Arabidopsis thaliana: one gene and its partners. The protein of the gene in region 1 interacts with the protein of each later gene in a pairwise test. Each region holds a gene or a part of one and is shown in the gene's direction. Other genes may lie near its edges.

The links.
Region 2: the proteins of HB-12 (region 1) and NATA1 interact in a two-hybrid assay, tested with the Arabidopsis thaliana proteins (one large-scale study listed by BioGRID).
Region 3: the proteins of HB-12 (region 1) and HAI1 interact in a two-hybrid assay, tested with the Arabidopsis thaliana proteins (one large-scale study listed by BioGRID).

Annotation. Positions count from the first base shown.
Region 1 is NC_003074.8:22,913,046-22,917,589, reverse strand, and holds HB-12 (homeobox 12), read left to right. Parts: upstream 1-2,196; 5' UTR 2,197-2,350; coding exon 2,351-2,704; intron 2,705-2,890; coding exon 2,891-3,244; 3' UTR 3,245-3,436; downstream 3,437-4,544. UniProt on the Arabidopsis thaliana protein: Probable transcription activator that may act as growth regulators in response to water deficit.
Region 2 is NC_003071.7:16,295,920-16,300,335, forward strand, and holds NATA1 (Acyl-CoA N-acyltransferases (NAT) superfamily protein), read left to right. Parts: upstream 1-2,190; 5' UTR 2,191-2,340; coding exon 2,341-3,027; 3' UTR 3,028-3,286; downstream 3,287-4,416. Other genes in the region: AT2G39020 (Acyl-CoA N-acyltransferases (NAT) superfamily protein), read left to right, coding at 1-183; AT2G39040 (Peroxidase superfamily protein), read right to left, coding at 3,544-3,962, 4,384-4,416. UniProt on the Arabidopsis thaliana protein: Acetyltransferase that converts ornithine to N5-acetylornithine, which is likely used in plant defense.
Region 3 is NC_003076.8:23,893,274-23,899,287, reverse strand, and holds HAI1 (PP2C protein (Clade A protein phosphatases type 2C)), read left to right. Parts: upstream 1-2,348; 5' UTR 2,349-2,790; coding exon 2,791-3,267; intron 3,268-3,350; coding exon 3,351-3,653; intron 3,654-4,022; coding exon 4,023-4,128; coding exon of another isoform or gene 4,129-4,151; exon of another isoform or gene 4,152-4,260; coding exon 4,261-4,616; 3' UTR 4,617-4,884; downstream 4,885-6,014. Other genes in the region: AT5G59210 (myosin heavy chain-like protein), read left to right, coding at 5,669-5,704, 5,802-5,889, 5,977-6,014. UniProt on the Arabidopsis thaliana protein: Acts as a negative regulator of abscisic acid (ABA) signaling for stomatal closure in leaves, and controls water loss during leaf senescence. Activated by the NAC029/NAP transcription factor during ABA signaling in senescing leaves.

The DNA of each region.
Region 1 (4,544 bases):
AAAATAGAAGTAAAGAATCATCTTCTCTTACGCATCTTATCAAGAACTGCTACATTTAAGCTAACCTCGACACGTGATAACATTTGTCGGACGCAATTTTCATACACAGCCACAAAGCAATCACCACGTCATCTTCTCATCAACTTGGCTTTCTTAATGGTGCCAAATGGCAATGAGTCAGTGGTTGATCTTGACAACTTTGATTGCTACTTGTCTGAAATGTCTACAGATCTGATTCATTACATTGTATACCAAAACTTTCGTCCATTTCCTTGTTGAAATAAGTCGATGTAAGTCATTCTATTCAAATATTTTTTTTCATGAAGTAATTTTCTGGTTTTAAAGCAAAGTAATAGATTATTTATAATTTTTTTAATTTTAATGGCTTAAGGCTAAAGTGACGTTGGATCGATGAAGCCGCCATAGTTCACAAATGGCCGAATTTAATTTGTTGTTTGTATTTAATAAGTCAAAAGAGATTTCCGAGAAGCAAGGTGAACGTAACCTTAAACTAATCATTAGAACATTAATTATATAAGTTGCGTTTATCATTAATATTGTTGCTTAAAATTACAAACTTTCAAAATCCCATGGTTAAGATAATTAGTGTTTCAGAGCCTAAGACGGAACGGAACTTGTGTAATTTTGTAAGAATAAACATATTAACTTCGTGTCTAAAAAAAAACATACTACACTGACTTCGTTTTCTAATAAGTAATTGTTGTAGAATTTTAATTTATTTCTGTTTATGTAAACTGTTATTTTGTATGTTTAATGCATATATTTTAGACAAGATACTTCTATCCATAATAGTTAGCTTATTAATAGAGGTATAATAATCTTTTTAGATTTCATATTATATTTAGTACTATTGGTTTTAGAAAAATGGAAAAAGGTCAAATAAATAATAGGAACACCACTGGTTTATATTTCTTTTCTGGATTGTGTATACTTTTTAGAAGAAAACTAAAACGGCATGTTGAAAAGGAAACCAAGAGGATAGTAATTAGGTCAGATTACTTGTTTAGTTACAAGAAAGTCAAGAAATCTCATAATTGAGTTTAAAACTTTAAACATTTGCATGGAAGTCAATAAATCTATAATCCTTACTCGTGATCATCTTATTGTTTCCGTGTAACGAAATTAAACGCGTAAAACATCGCGTAAACTATAGTACGGTATGTGATATGCAAATATATCTTAATTTATTTTTTATTTTTTATTTTTCTTGGGCAATGAATTGAAGAGTTGCAAAATTATTTGCCAGCTTACCACATGCGGCCACAATTTTAACCATGATTAATCTTCTTTTGGAATTTAGCGAGATAAATCAAGAGTAGGTTTATTTTAGAACATAGTATATAATACACTAATGAAAAGTCTCGTTAAAACGTGTTTCACGTAACCGACCTCTAAAGTATGGCGTGCGAGTAACGACAAATGAAATCTCAAATGAAAATGGAGATTATTTTAATCTTAATTATAACACACTAATTAACACCCGTCAAACATCCTGATATGTGAACGTGGAATCTCGTTACACAATCGAATAAAATTATTGCTTAATACGATCCGTCTTTCTCTCTCTTTCGTAATGATTATCTATCAATATTATCTTGACTAATAAAAGTATCGCAAGGCCTTGGCAGTCACATGTTAAATGATGATATACGTTGTTGCATGTTAAAACATAGTACAACGATCATCTAGGCTGCTGCTAAATTCTATTTTCAAAAATGCCTTTTATATGCAAGAAAAGCAAAATAATCGAGTTTTTTTTTTTGTTTCATTATAAACTGCTTCATTTTTCTTAGGAACGGCCAAACTGTTAAAAAGTAAAATATGTATGGTGATTAATTGATGTAACCAAAGCCAGTTCGCCCGTTTGATTGTCAACCCACGTTATCATTCACTTGATCACTTCCATGAAACATATAAAAGCTGATAATACTTATATTATAAAGGAAAAAAAGTATGAAAATATTATCAGTAGTTAGATGATTAGTTCACATCTAAATGAAATACGACTTAAACTGAAAGAGACATGAGCCAATTCGTGTCGAGCCACAAATTTTGGACGTATATTTTTAGCCCGTGGTTCCACAATATTTGCAGGTCTTTTTATTCAATGAGTTTATTTTGTCTTGGTTGAATAATGAAATTTCCAAATATAAAAAATAATAGAAATCCGAGGCCCTACACAAGCACACATAGTAACTCCCACATTATATATAAGCGGCCAATATCAGCAACTCAGAGATTCCAGAAAGAAAGAAAAAAAAGAAACAAATAATTCCAAAACCTTCTCTCTTAATCAAAATCAAGAAACTTACAAGATCTGGTGAAAACCATGGAAGAAGGAGATTTTTTCAACTGCTGTTTCAGCGAGATTAGTAGTGGCATGACCATGAATAAGAAGAAGATGAAGAAGAGCAATAACCAAAAGAGGTTTAGCGAGGAACAGATCAAGTCACTTGAGCTTATATTTGAGTCTGAGACGAGGCTTGAGCCGAGGAAGAAGGTTCAGGTAGCTAGAGAGCTAGGGCTGCAACCAAGACAAGTGGCTATATGGTTTCAAAACAAGAGGGCTCGATGGAAAACTAAGCAACTTGAGAAAGAGTATAACACTCTTAGAGCCAATTACAACAATTTGGCTTCACAATTTGAAATCATGAAGAAAGAAAAGCAATCTCTGGTCTCTGAGGTACATAATGATTCTATCGATATCTTTATCTTTAATTGAACAGTGATAGAAACAATAATTGATAATGATCTTTTTTTTTTATAAAGTATAAAATAGCAAATACAGTCTTGGCATTTATTGGTTTTTGGGGGATGTAAATTCTCGATCATTTTGCCTAATTTGATATTAATCAATCTCTATTTGCAGCTGCAGAGACTAAACGAAGAGATGCAAAGGCCTAAAGAAGAAAAGCATCATGAGTGTTGTGGTGATCAAGGACTGGCTCTAAGCAGCAGCACAGAGTCGCATAATGGAAAGAGTGAGCCAGAAGGGAGGTTAGACCAAGGGAGTGTTCTATGTAATGATGGTGATTACAACAACAACATTAAAACAGAGTATTTTGGGTTCGAGGAAGAGACTGATCATGAGCTGATGAACATTGTGGAGAAAGCTGATGATAGTTGCTTGACATCTTCTGAGAATTGGGGAGGTTTCAATTCTGATTCTCTCTTAGACCAATCTAGCAGCAATTACCCTAACTGGTGGGAGTTTTGGTCATAAAAGCATATAAGAAAAAAACAGAACATAAGCGAAGAGAAAGAGTGTGAATAGTTTGTAAATTATGTGTTAAGAAAAATAAATTTAGTTTAGTTTAAATCTTGTTTCGATCTATGTATCTACTATGTTCAATACTCTTTGTAGCTAATTAGTAGCTTATAATGAGACTAGAAAAGTTTTGAAGTCACCAAGGTTAAATTTGTGATTGCAAGTTGGCTCTAAGAGTGTTGGACCAAGCGTAATGATCACAAGTACAAGAGTCTTCGTCCATAATGATCTCGAAACGGACTAAAAATTGACCTAAATTTGAAACTAAGTGCATTTATCTCTATATTGGTGCTCTGCTATAATGCTTTCAATATCCTCGAGATGAATTGTCTATGAATTTTATCACCAAATATCAGTTTTGATCACATTCCGGTTCATCAGCTCAGGTTACTCTGTCACTCCCTTCCTATGAGATATTTGTAGCTGGATTGGCAGATATGGAACAACTTCTTGTAGATGCAGAACTAGTTCCTTTTGGTGTTTGTCTTTCCAGTTTATAAGGAACAATCGAGTCATGATAATCTTCCTATGATTGATGTCATGTGGGACATGTGCTTTGTAACCAGACTCTCAACAGAATGTAAAAGAATGGCTCTAAGTCAAGTCTTTATAGTGTCCTTAATCTTGTAGCAACGGTAGCCCCTGGATCATCCCTTCTTCCTTGAGAAATCAAAGCAAACCAATGTTTCTCTTATGGTTCTGTTCTGTATAATATGGGGGTATTTTGGGAATTGAAGTTTTCAACGTCTCTTTCATATGTTTCCTTTTTTAAAGTCCCGCTCCTGTATAAAGCAAACCCTTCGAAATGGGTCGGACAATATGGGCCTTATCACGATGGGCTTTAAAACTCTTATTCATCAAACTAAACCCAACTTAGAAAGAGTTACCCAACAGGGTTTGCATATCACTTCCATTTTACTTTTTATCTTCGAAACAAATCCAAATCTTGGACCAAGAACAATATCTAGATATTGGATACTTTCAGTGAATAAAATATGAAAAACCACTGTTAAATTTCTATACATACACATTTTGACCTGACAAGATCTTTTACTCTCAAAAGAGATAAAGCTTTACTGAGTGAGAATATATTTGTTTTGTACAAATAGAAATCACACAAATATCGCTGGTGAGGAATTTAACCTACTTTGGTAATCAAAAAAGAAAAATATTACATGCACGCATATATATATAAAATTTGTTTTGTTTAACACGGATGTCGATTGATTGGTTATTTCCCTGCTGTGATAAATTC
Region 2 (4,416 bases), on another chromosome or scaffold:
TTGACTGCTGTGGCCAAACAAGCGGTGAAGATGGGTTATGGAAGAGTGGAATGGGTTGTTCTTGATTGGAATGTTAATGCTATCAAGTTTTATGAGCAGATGGGTGCTCAGATTCTGCAGGAGTGGAGAGTTTGTAGACTTACTGGTGATGCTCTTGAAGCTTTTGATCAGGTCAACATCTAGAGATTGATGCTGTGTTGCTGAGAGTTATCGAATCAGATCACTTCCTCTTGCTTTTAAAGTTTGTGTTTTTTTTCCTTCTTCTTGTTGTTACTTTATGCAAGTGTTGGCATTGATGATGATGATGATGATGAATTCTCTATGCTTACTTGTTGGATACTGAATGAGAAAAAAGAACCCTTTTGTTGAATGTATGAAATGTTTCGAGTTTTTAAAGTAAGAGTTATGTATTTGTGTGATTCCTCGTCATATTTGCTTGACCAAAGTATTTGTTCTGTGTTATGGATTTGAAGAATTGGTTTTGTGATCCTAGAGGACAGTGAATTGGAGAGTACAGATAAATTGGTCAAATGAAGAAATTGTGATCAAATGTAGAATGGTTAAGTTGCTTGCGAGGCACACACAAGTCTAATTGCAAACTATATAGGTTAAGCCTTCTTGCTTCAGTTACTATAGAAGACAATAAAAACTAAGTTTTAGTAGTCTCTGACTCTCTGTCTTGTTGTATAGAGAATTAAGAAACCGTGAGCATGAAACAAAAATTCATCTATTTTTATTACTACAACAAAACATTCCGCTTTTGTGTTAACATAGAGAACAAAAGACCCCATTTTACGAAAATGATTCTACTCTTATAAATGGGCTTAAGTGGGTTGTAAAATTTGTAGAAGAATGCACAAACACTTCAACATCTCTAGTTGTCCTACTGGCTTTAAAGAACATCTCTTTGATTGAGATTAATTCACTTGCAATTTATCGGTAAAACTTTAAAACTGAACCAAAAGTAAAAAAGAGTGAGACTAGTTTTTTGTTTGTTAAACATGAAACTGGACATAAAACTGGACAGATACATTCTACTAATATCATGCATTCCGTTAAGTATTTTGAACAAAAAATCTCATCTTTGGAAGAGTATATTATGAAAAATATTTGGATTTACACTCAAAATCATATTCATTTATTAACAATTAAAACTATAAAAAGACATAAGCTAAAGAATTAAAGTAGTAAAAAATTGATAGTTTTATTTCCTTTCCTTTATTATCAACAACATTGAAGTTATCGTCGTGATTACAGAATCCAAAATTGGAAAGAAATGGCAGGATACATATTTGATTTTTGTTGTCGACAAATTTGGACTAAGAGACGTAACAAATCTTGCCAGCTACATGTAGAACGCACCTGTTAATACTGTAAACAATGTCGGCTAACTATTTTGTGCTAACGACAATAAATATCAAAGTAGTACGTGTAGCGTCTAGCTTCTTCTATGAGATAAAACGACGATGGGAGTGTCATTATTTTTCACTCATTTCTTGTATTTTTCTTTGGAACCAAAATGTCTTTTTCCATGATTTAACGACATGTGCTTCACGTTTCTTCATATGTCTTTTTACCGACTTCAACAAATGGTGATGGTATTTATCGAAATTCATCAATTTCTTCCTAAATTAAATTGGTAAAAATACCAATTGTCGAACTCACTCACGAAGATTGGACTGTAAACGGTATAGATGACCGTATTTGCTTCGTGGTATGGTCGTGCGTTGTCTCAAATCGCAAAAGAGCCAAATTATGTTTAAAAAATTCAATGCCATATTAGAAACCTTAATCTTCTCTAATGAATTTGTACGACGTAATATAGAATGAGAGGTTCAAATTATTAAGAAGGAAGTTTAAAAGACTTAGAACCGTTTGCAAAGTTTTGGGAGAGATGATCGGTGACCTATACAATGAGATAATAGAGATTGAGGGATTGAAAATTGAGGGACGCAACCATTACACTGATACGTTGAGTTGATATGGTGATAATTGTTTTTATGTTCAAAAACTTACATAAGTAGATAATGTGGAGTCTCTTTGATTTCTTAACCTGAACGAAAAACCAAAAAGGAGAAGAGAGTGATCACCTAATTTAACGTGTAAAACATGACATTTTCCAAGAAGAGGGATCGATCTAAAAGTCAAAAAAAGGATGAGATAGCGTTTTAGTTTATCATATGTGGCATAGTTAGATTGGCTTGTAAAATAATTTCTAATCCTAAACATGATAGATAGCAGCCTTAGAAGCAAGTAACATCAAATTTTTATAGTATATATATATGGATTCTCGAAACCCTAATCTTCACATCACTATCTTCAAAAACAAGTAACAGAAAAATGGCGCCTCCAACCGCAGCACCAGAGCCAAACACTGTGCCAGAGACTTCACCGACCGGCCACCGTATGTTTTCCCGGATCCGCCTCGCTACGCCGACCGATGTCCCTTTCATTCACAAGCTAATCCACCAGATGGCGGTTTTTGAGCGCCTCACGCATCTCTTTGTCGCCACCGAGTCTGGTCTTGCCTCCACGCTCTTCAACTCCCGTCCGTTCCAAGCCGTCACCGTCTTCCTCTTGGAAATCTCCCCTTCCCCATTTCCCACCACTCATGACGCTTCGTCCCCTGATTTCACCCCCTTTCTTGAGACGCATAAGGTTGATCTCCCTATCGAGGATCCGGACAGAGAAAAGTTCTTGCCGGATAAGCTCAACGACGTGGTGGTGGCTGGATTCGTTCTGTTCTTCCCGAACTACCCAAGTTTTCTAGCGAAACAGGGTTTCTACATCGAGGATATCTTCATGAGAGAACCTTACAGACGAAAAGGCTTCGGAAAACTGCTACTGACCGCTGTGGCAAAGCAAGCAGTGAAGTTGGGTGTCGGAAGAGTGGAGTGGATTGTGATCGATTGGAATGTGAATGCTATCAACTTCTATGAGCAGATGGGTGCGCAGGTTTTTAAGGAATGGAGACTTTGTAGGCTCACTGGCGATGCACTTCAAGCTATTGACAAGCTAAACATCTAGCAGCATGATGATTTGCATGAGACCCATCGAGCGATCGGTCCTTTAAAGTTTGTTTCTCACTTGTTTTTAATTTGTTGAATAAAACATCTCAAGTTTAAGATAAAGATGTATTTGTGATTATGGTTACAAAAGTATCTTCTGTGTTTTCGGATTTGAATAAAATGGAGATTTCTTCAAACTATTTATAAGCCATGTTTAAAAGAAGTTTTCAAGGTGTATTTAATGTGAATAAATAAAATTTTTAAATTATTGACCTCAATTTATATAGAGACTGCACTGTTTTTTTTTTAACCGGACAGCGTTCTACTTACACATGCTAAAGTACGGGCCTTGTCAAAAAGACATAGAAGTGGTAATTAAACAGATAAATTGGAAACATACAATTCCACTTAAATATATATATGGATCATTAAAATCTTAGTATTGTAATAAAATTAAGAAAAACATATCTCAAATGATGATTACATGATAATCAAATTTATACGGTATTAAGATAAAAAAAAAAGTGAAAATTTATCAGTTGACGAGGCGACAATTTTTACGAATCTCACCACCTTGATCTCCAAGAGTAAGGACTTTGATGGAACTCATCTTTATCATGGACCGACCAAACTGAGCAAGAAAAGCGCCGGAGTTTTGGAAAACACTAGCAATGTGAGCGGCGGAGGGATCAGTCAACAAGGCGGCGTCGGAGGTGAAGAGTCCTTTGTTCTTGAGTAGAGAGACGAAGTAGCCACTGTCAAAGGCGAGAGGACCAGTAGGGTCCATTCCGACCACTGCGGAAGGGTTGAGTCTTAAAGATTTGTCGGAGCATTCGGATTTGAGGAAGGAGGCGTAACTAGGGTTTAGGGAAGGATCTGTGTCCCCTTTTCCGGTGAAGTTCAAGAGCCTTCTGCCAAACACACCGCAATGTGCTATTCCTATCGTGTGTGCTCCTATTTTTCATACAATTTCGTTTCTTTTTAATATATAATCGAAAAATTAGGTGATTAAATGAATGATTTATATGAAAATATTAGTGTATCATTCCTAAGAAGATTAATTGACTTTTGAATAATTATCACGTGCAACGCCTTTTCCAAGATTATCCTCAAATATTTGATGGTATATATACGATCGGATATTATACTTTTTCTTGAAGATTGGAGGAAATTAATTTGTAGCATCCCATACACTTCCTAACATGGACATGCACGTGGTCTGATATTCCCGCGATTTTCTTATAGTTTTATGCGTTCTTTAGTTTTATTATTTGTTCCCAATTTTCATTGGTTAGCTTTTAATTCACTTGGTTTCTTATCAGTAACGTATATGCAAATGTGATTACCAAAAAATGATATATCAAATATGGTAAACCTGATAAAGCGACGAGGTCAACGACGTCCAAAT
Region 3 (6,014 bases), on another chromosome or scaffold:
ATAACTCAACATCGAGTTTGAAAAATGTATGAGATCGGGCATTGTTCATTATCAAGAAAAGCATTTTGTATTAATGTATATAACTAATCATGTGTGATGTGGAAATTCCAACGACAAATTGGTAAGATTTCAATTCAAAGTTACAAAACAAAGACGAGATAATTAATCAAACTAGCTAGGACAATATATTGTCTCCTTACCGAAAGCTCTCCAACCACCTACTAAAGTAACTAACCATGTTTCAGTTATAATTTTATTTTTTCGTATTCCTATCAAGTATCAAATGATATAGTTAACCAACATTTATATATATATATTGAAATCACTAAACAAACAACAAAAGTAACATAGATTTTAATGGAACTAATTTTCACCTTATATTTTTACATAAGATTTGAAAGTGATGGTTAGTGACTTGTTGGTCGATGACGAATTTGTTTTCAGGTTAAATTTTAATAATAATAATATTTGAAAGAAAGATGAAGCTTTCACGTGGCACAATGTATTTGCCTACTGTCAACTTCAAAAACCTGGCAACTGCTATGCAGCTTCAGAGGACACGTGTCATGTGTTACACACGCGCTTCGTTTTTTTTCAACCTTTTGATTTTGTTTTGTTCTGTGATGTGGGACTCACATAATTCAAATCATCATCCTATTGCTTGCCGCCACGTCCCAGAGAATTTTCCGCGAAAAGCTGAGCTTCTCTCTTTCTTTCCTTAATTTTAGTTAGGTTATGAATTATTTTTGTATTAATACTAACTAACTAAAATATCATCATCACATTACATAAACATAAGATTCATCGGCGTAACGTAAGTAACAGTTAAAGCCCAAATTACAACTCTCGATCCTACTTAATGCATAGTAAACGAATGTTGACACAGAAAAAATCTTGGTCAAGACATAAAAGTAGAGAATGTAAACACGTGTCGAACATCGAGGAAGAAAACAGGTCAGAGAGGGGTCAACGTTGTTAAATGTTAGTAATAGAGAAGTGGTCCCCAGTTTCCACCAAAACCCATCTACGTACTTGTATCTCATTGGATGTCATTCCTGATTGATTTAGAATTGAAAACGTTATATTTTGTTTATTTCTAATTGTTGATTGAATATCTTATAATTTTTGCCCACAAAAGAAAATTATAAGTGTATAATATATAGTTCACTCGAATTTAACATGTCCATTGTCCAATGTAGAACGTATGATCATTTCTGTTTTTCAGTTGCTTTTATTTTAAATTCCCAAAAACCCAATATTGTGTCAAACATTGGAGAATGATGTTCACTTTTATTGTATTCACAAAATGCTACTTATCAACTAAGAAAATTGTAATGTCAAACATAAGATGGTGATATTTTAAAAATAGATGTAAAATTAGTTTAGAACTGTCTGATAAGTCATAAGATTGCACGATTATAAATCATTGAATATTCCGGACACTTGTCAAGATTAAAACCATGAATAAGTTTTCAAATTCATTTTCATCATCTCAATTGTAAAACTAGGTAAGATATCCTTTAAAATCTTTGAATATTAGTTCCCCGGCCCATATAAAATCTCTTAAATATATTTATTTGAAAACTCTGACTGTTTGCACTTGCAGCATAAAAAAAGGGATGAAACAAATGGAACAAATGCAGAACAAAACTAATAGACCAGACAAGTAAAACAAACGAAACAAAACAAGTGTTGAAATGATAACTCACAAATTTGAACTTACTTTTCTAGCAAATAAGAAATTGTTCTAATTAAAAAAAAAAGCATATGCAGTCTCAAATTGTTTCTAAGAAGTATTCACGCACCAAGGTTATATTTGTAGTGACATATTCTACAATTATCACATTTTTCTCTTATGTTTCGTAGTCGCAGATGGTCAATTTTTTCTATAATAATTTGTCCTTGAACACACCAAACTTTAGAAACGATGATATATACCGTATTGTCACGCTCACAATGAAACAAACGCGATGAATCGTCATCACCAGCTAAAAGCCTAAAACACCATCTTAGTTTTCACTCAGATAAAAAGATTATTTGTTTCCAACCTTTCTATTGAATTGATTAGCAGTGATGACGTAATTAGTGATAGTTTATAGTAAAACAAATGGAAGTGGTAATAAATTTACACAACAAAATATGGTAAGAATCTATAAAATAAGAGGTTAAGAGATCTCATGTTATATTAAATGATTGAAAGAAAAACAAACTATTGGTTGATTTCCATATGTAATAGTAAGTTGTGATGAAAGTGATGACGTAATTAGTTGTATTTATAGTAAAACAAATTAAAATGGTAAGGTAAATTTCCACAACAAAACTTGGTAAAAATCTTAAAAAAAAAAAAAGAGGTTTAGAGATCGCATGCGTGTCATCAAAGGTTCTTTTTCACTTTAGGTCTGAGTAGTGTTAGACTTTGATTGGTGCACGTAAGTGTTTCGTATCGCGATTTAGGAGAAGTACGTTTTACACGTGGACACAATCAACGGTCAAGATTTCGTCGTCCAGATAGAGGAGCGATACGTCACGCCATTCAACAATCTCCTCTTCTTCATTCCTTCATTTTGATTTTGAGTTTTGATCTGCCCGTTCAAAAGTCTCGGTCATCTGCCCGTAAATATAAAGATGATTATATTTATTTATATCTTCTGGTGAAAGAAGCTAATATAAAGCTTCCATGGCTAATCTTGTTTAAGCTTCTCTTCTTCTTCTCTCTCCTGTGTCTCGTTCACTAGTTTTTTTTCGGGGGAGAGTGATGGAGTGTGTTTGTTGAATAGTTTTGACGATCACATGGCTGAGATTTGTTACGAGAACGAGACTATGATGATTGAAACGACGGCGACGGTGGTGAAGAAGGCAACGACGACAACGAGGAGACGAGAACGGAGCTCGTCTCAAGCAGCGAGAAGAAGGAGAATGGAGATCCGGAGGTTTAAGTTTGTTTCCGGCGAACAAGAACCTGTCTTCGTCGACGGTGACTTACAGAGGCGGAGGAGAAGAGAATCCACCGTCGCAGCCTCCACCTCCACCGTGTTTTACGAAACGGCGAAGGAAGTTGTCGTCCTATGCGAGTCTCTTAGTTCAACGGTTGTGGCATTGCCTGATCCTGAAGCTTATCCTAAATACGGCGTCGCTTCAGTCTGTGGAAGAAGACGTGAAATGGAAGACGCCGTCGCTGTGCATCCGTTTTTTTCCCGTCATCAGACGGAATATTCATCCACCGGATTTCACTATTGCGGCGTTTACGATGGCCATGGCTGTTCCCATGTACGACGTCGTTTTATTATAAAAATTATCCTTTAATTGACCGTTACGACGTCGGTTTTTAATTTTAATAATATGATGTTTAGGTAGCGATGAAATGTAGAGAAAGACTACACGAGCTAGTCCGTGAAGAGTTTGAAGCTGATGCTGACTGGGAAAAGTCAATGGCGCGTAGCTTCACGCGCATGGACATGGAGGTTGTTGCGTTGAACGCCGATGGTGCGGCAAAATGCCGGTGCGAGCTTCAGAGGCCGGACTGCGACGCGGTGGGATCCACTGCGGTTGTGTCTGTCCTTACGCCGGAGAAAATCATCGTGGCGAATTGCGGTGACTCACGTGCCGTTCTCTGTCGTAACGGCAAAGCCATTGCTTTATCCTCCGATCATAAGGTTTTGTTCGTTTTTTGATAATCTCTCTTGTTTCGTTTATCCATCGTTAAATGTTTATCCGTTAGATCTACGGTTATGGTTTACTCACTGTAATGAAACGAGAATTTCGTTACGTGTTGCGTTCGAAACTTACCTATTAATATTGTTTAATGCATTTTTTATTTATTATTTCATTTATTGGAAATTAGAATCTTCTTTAATGTGCATGCAACACCTGGACGACGATTAAGAATGTTTAATGACTTTTTACTTTTTAGATAGAGGATCTGATAAAGTTTATGAGTTTTAAGATTCTTTAATCCTTCGTGTCACTGTTATCAATGACTATATCATTCTCTCTCTCTCTCTTGTTTAAATTTGTTGTAACAGCCAGACCGTCCGGACGAGCTAGACCGGATTCAAGCAGCGGGTGGTCGTGTTATCTACTGGGATGGCCCACGTGTCCTTGGAGTACTTGCAATGTCACGAGCCATTGGTCAGTTAATTGATTACACTTGACGAAAACACTCTTGTCCCTATCCTAATGTTTGTACAAAGTTTTTCCGTACTTTCAATAATGATGATTATTAACTCTCGTTTCGCCGCGGATTTTTTTTTTTTTTTTCAGGAGATAATTACTTGAAGCCGTATGTAATCAGCAGACCGGAGGTAACCGTGACGGACCGGGCCAACGGAGACGATTTTCTTATTCTCGCAAGTGACGGTCTTTGGGACGTTGTTTCAAACGAAACTGCATGTAGCGTCGTTCGAATGTGTTTGAGAGGAAAAGTCAATGGTCAAGTATCATCATCACCGGAAAGGGAAATGACAGGTGTCGGCGCCGGGAATGTGGTGGTTGGAGGAGGAGATTTGCCAGATAAAGCGTGTGAGGAGGCGTCGCTGTTGCTGACGAGGCTTGCGTTGGCTAGACAAAGTTCGGACAACGTAAGTGTTGTGGTGGTTGATCTACGACGAGACACGTAGTTGTATTTGTCTCTCTCGTAATGTTTGTTGTTTTTTGTCCTGAGTCATCGACTTTTGGGCTTTTTCTTTTAACCTTTTTTGCTCTTCGGTGTAAGACAACGAAGGGTTTTTAATTTAGCTTGACTATGGGTTATGTCAGTCACTGTGTTGAATCGCGGTTTAGATCTACAAAGATTTTCACCAGTAGTGAAAATGGTAAAAAGCCGTGAAATGTGAAAGACTTGAGTTCAATTTAATTTTAAATTTAATAGAATCAGTTGATCATAACAAAATCTTACCTTTTTAAATTTATTTTTTGTTATATATAGGACGATGTTTATAGGAATATTAGAAATGTTAGACTGATATCTTTAAGAATAGGAAAAGAACCAAATATTTACTAAGGAATTTGTTTTCAAGTGTATTTTGTAACTAAACAAGGCAAACAATCGGTATAGAATACTTCAAAGGTTAATTGGGAGGATTCAATATTATAACATTTTTTTCTTATTATGTAAAACGTTTTTTTTTTTTTTTTGCCAACATAATCTATAAAACATGTTTATATAACTCTTCATCAAACGGGTATGGTTCACACTTTATCATGTGACATATTAGAAGATGTCGATCATTAAGACTGAACATTGTTTAAAGTACTTAGAAATCAAAATGATGATTCAAGCTTTGATAACTTCCAACCGTTTCCAACCGCCAAACTTTGGTAACTTTTTTAGAATCGAACTCCTAGCTATCGCCTAACGATTTTTTTGAACATTCTCGTTTTTTTTTCTTTTAAATGTCTTTGCAATTGCATAAACTGGTTTTTTTTTTTTTTTTTTTTTTTTGTCGGAAACTGGTTTTCTTTTATCATCCTGTTTTCAACTTTTATTCAATTTTTTTTTTCTTTTTGAAATTGAAAAACTGGGCTCGCTTTCAAGGTCAGAGAGTTATATATGTCCATGGGCCTATTTAACACTCCTATAAGCCCAAATATAGATATATTCCATTTTTGTCGCCGGCGATTTCCTCACCGTTAAATCGACGTTCGAAATTCCGAGGAGAGGAATCATACCATGGAATCGCACCACGCGTCTCTAGGTCGCCGTACTGTAAGGATATTTCCGATATGGCCGTCTTTATCTTCATCTGAAGACAGTTTCTTACATCGGTGCTTTTTTGTTGTTATTAATTTCTGTGATCTTGTAGTTGGAAGAGATTCGTCAAAAGAGAGCAGCTCAAAGGCTAAGCAAAGCTTCTTCAGGTCCAGATCTTAGTGAAATTCCCAATCCTGCCGGTAATTTTATTCATCTCCAATTTCAATGTTTTGCCATCTCCTTTTCCACTAGCTTTGCAATTTTGATTGACTACTTCATTATTTCAGATTTCCCAGTGATCAGAAAATCTGAGAGCGGAAATCGA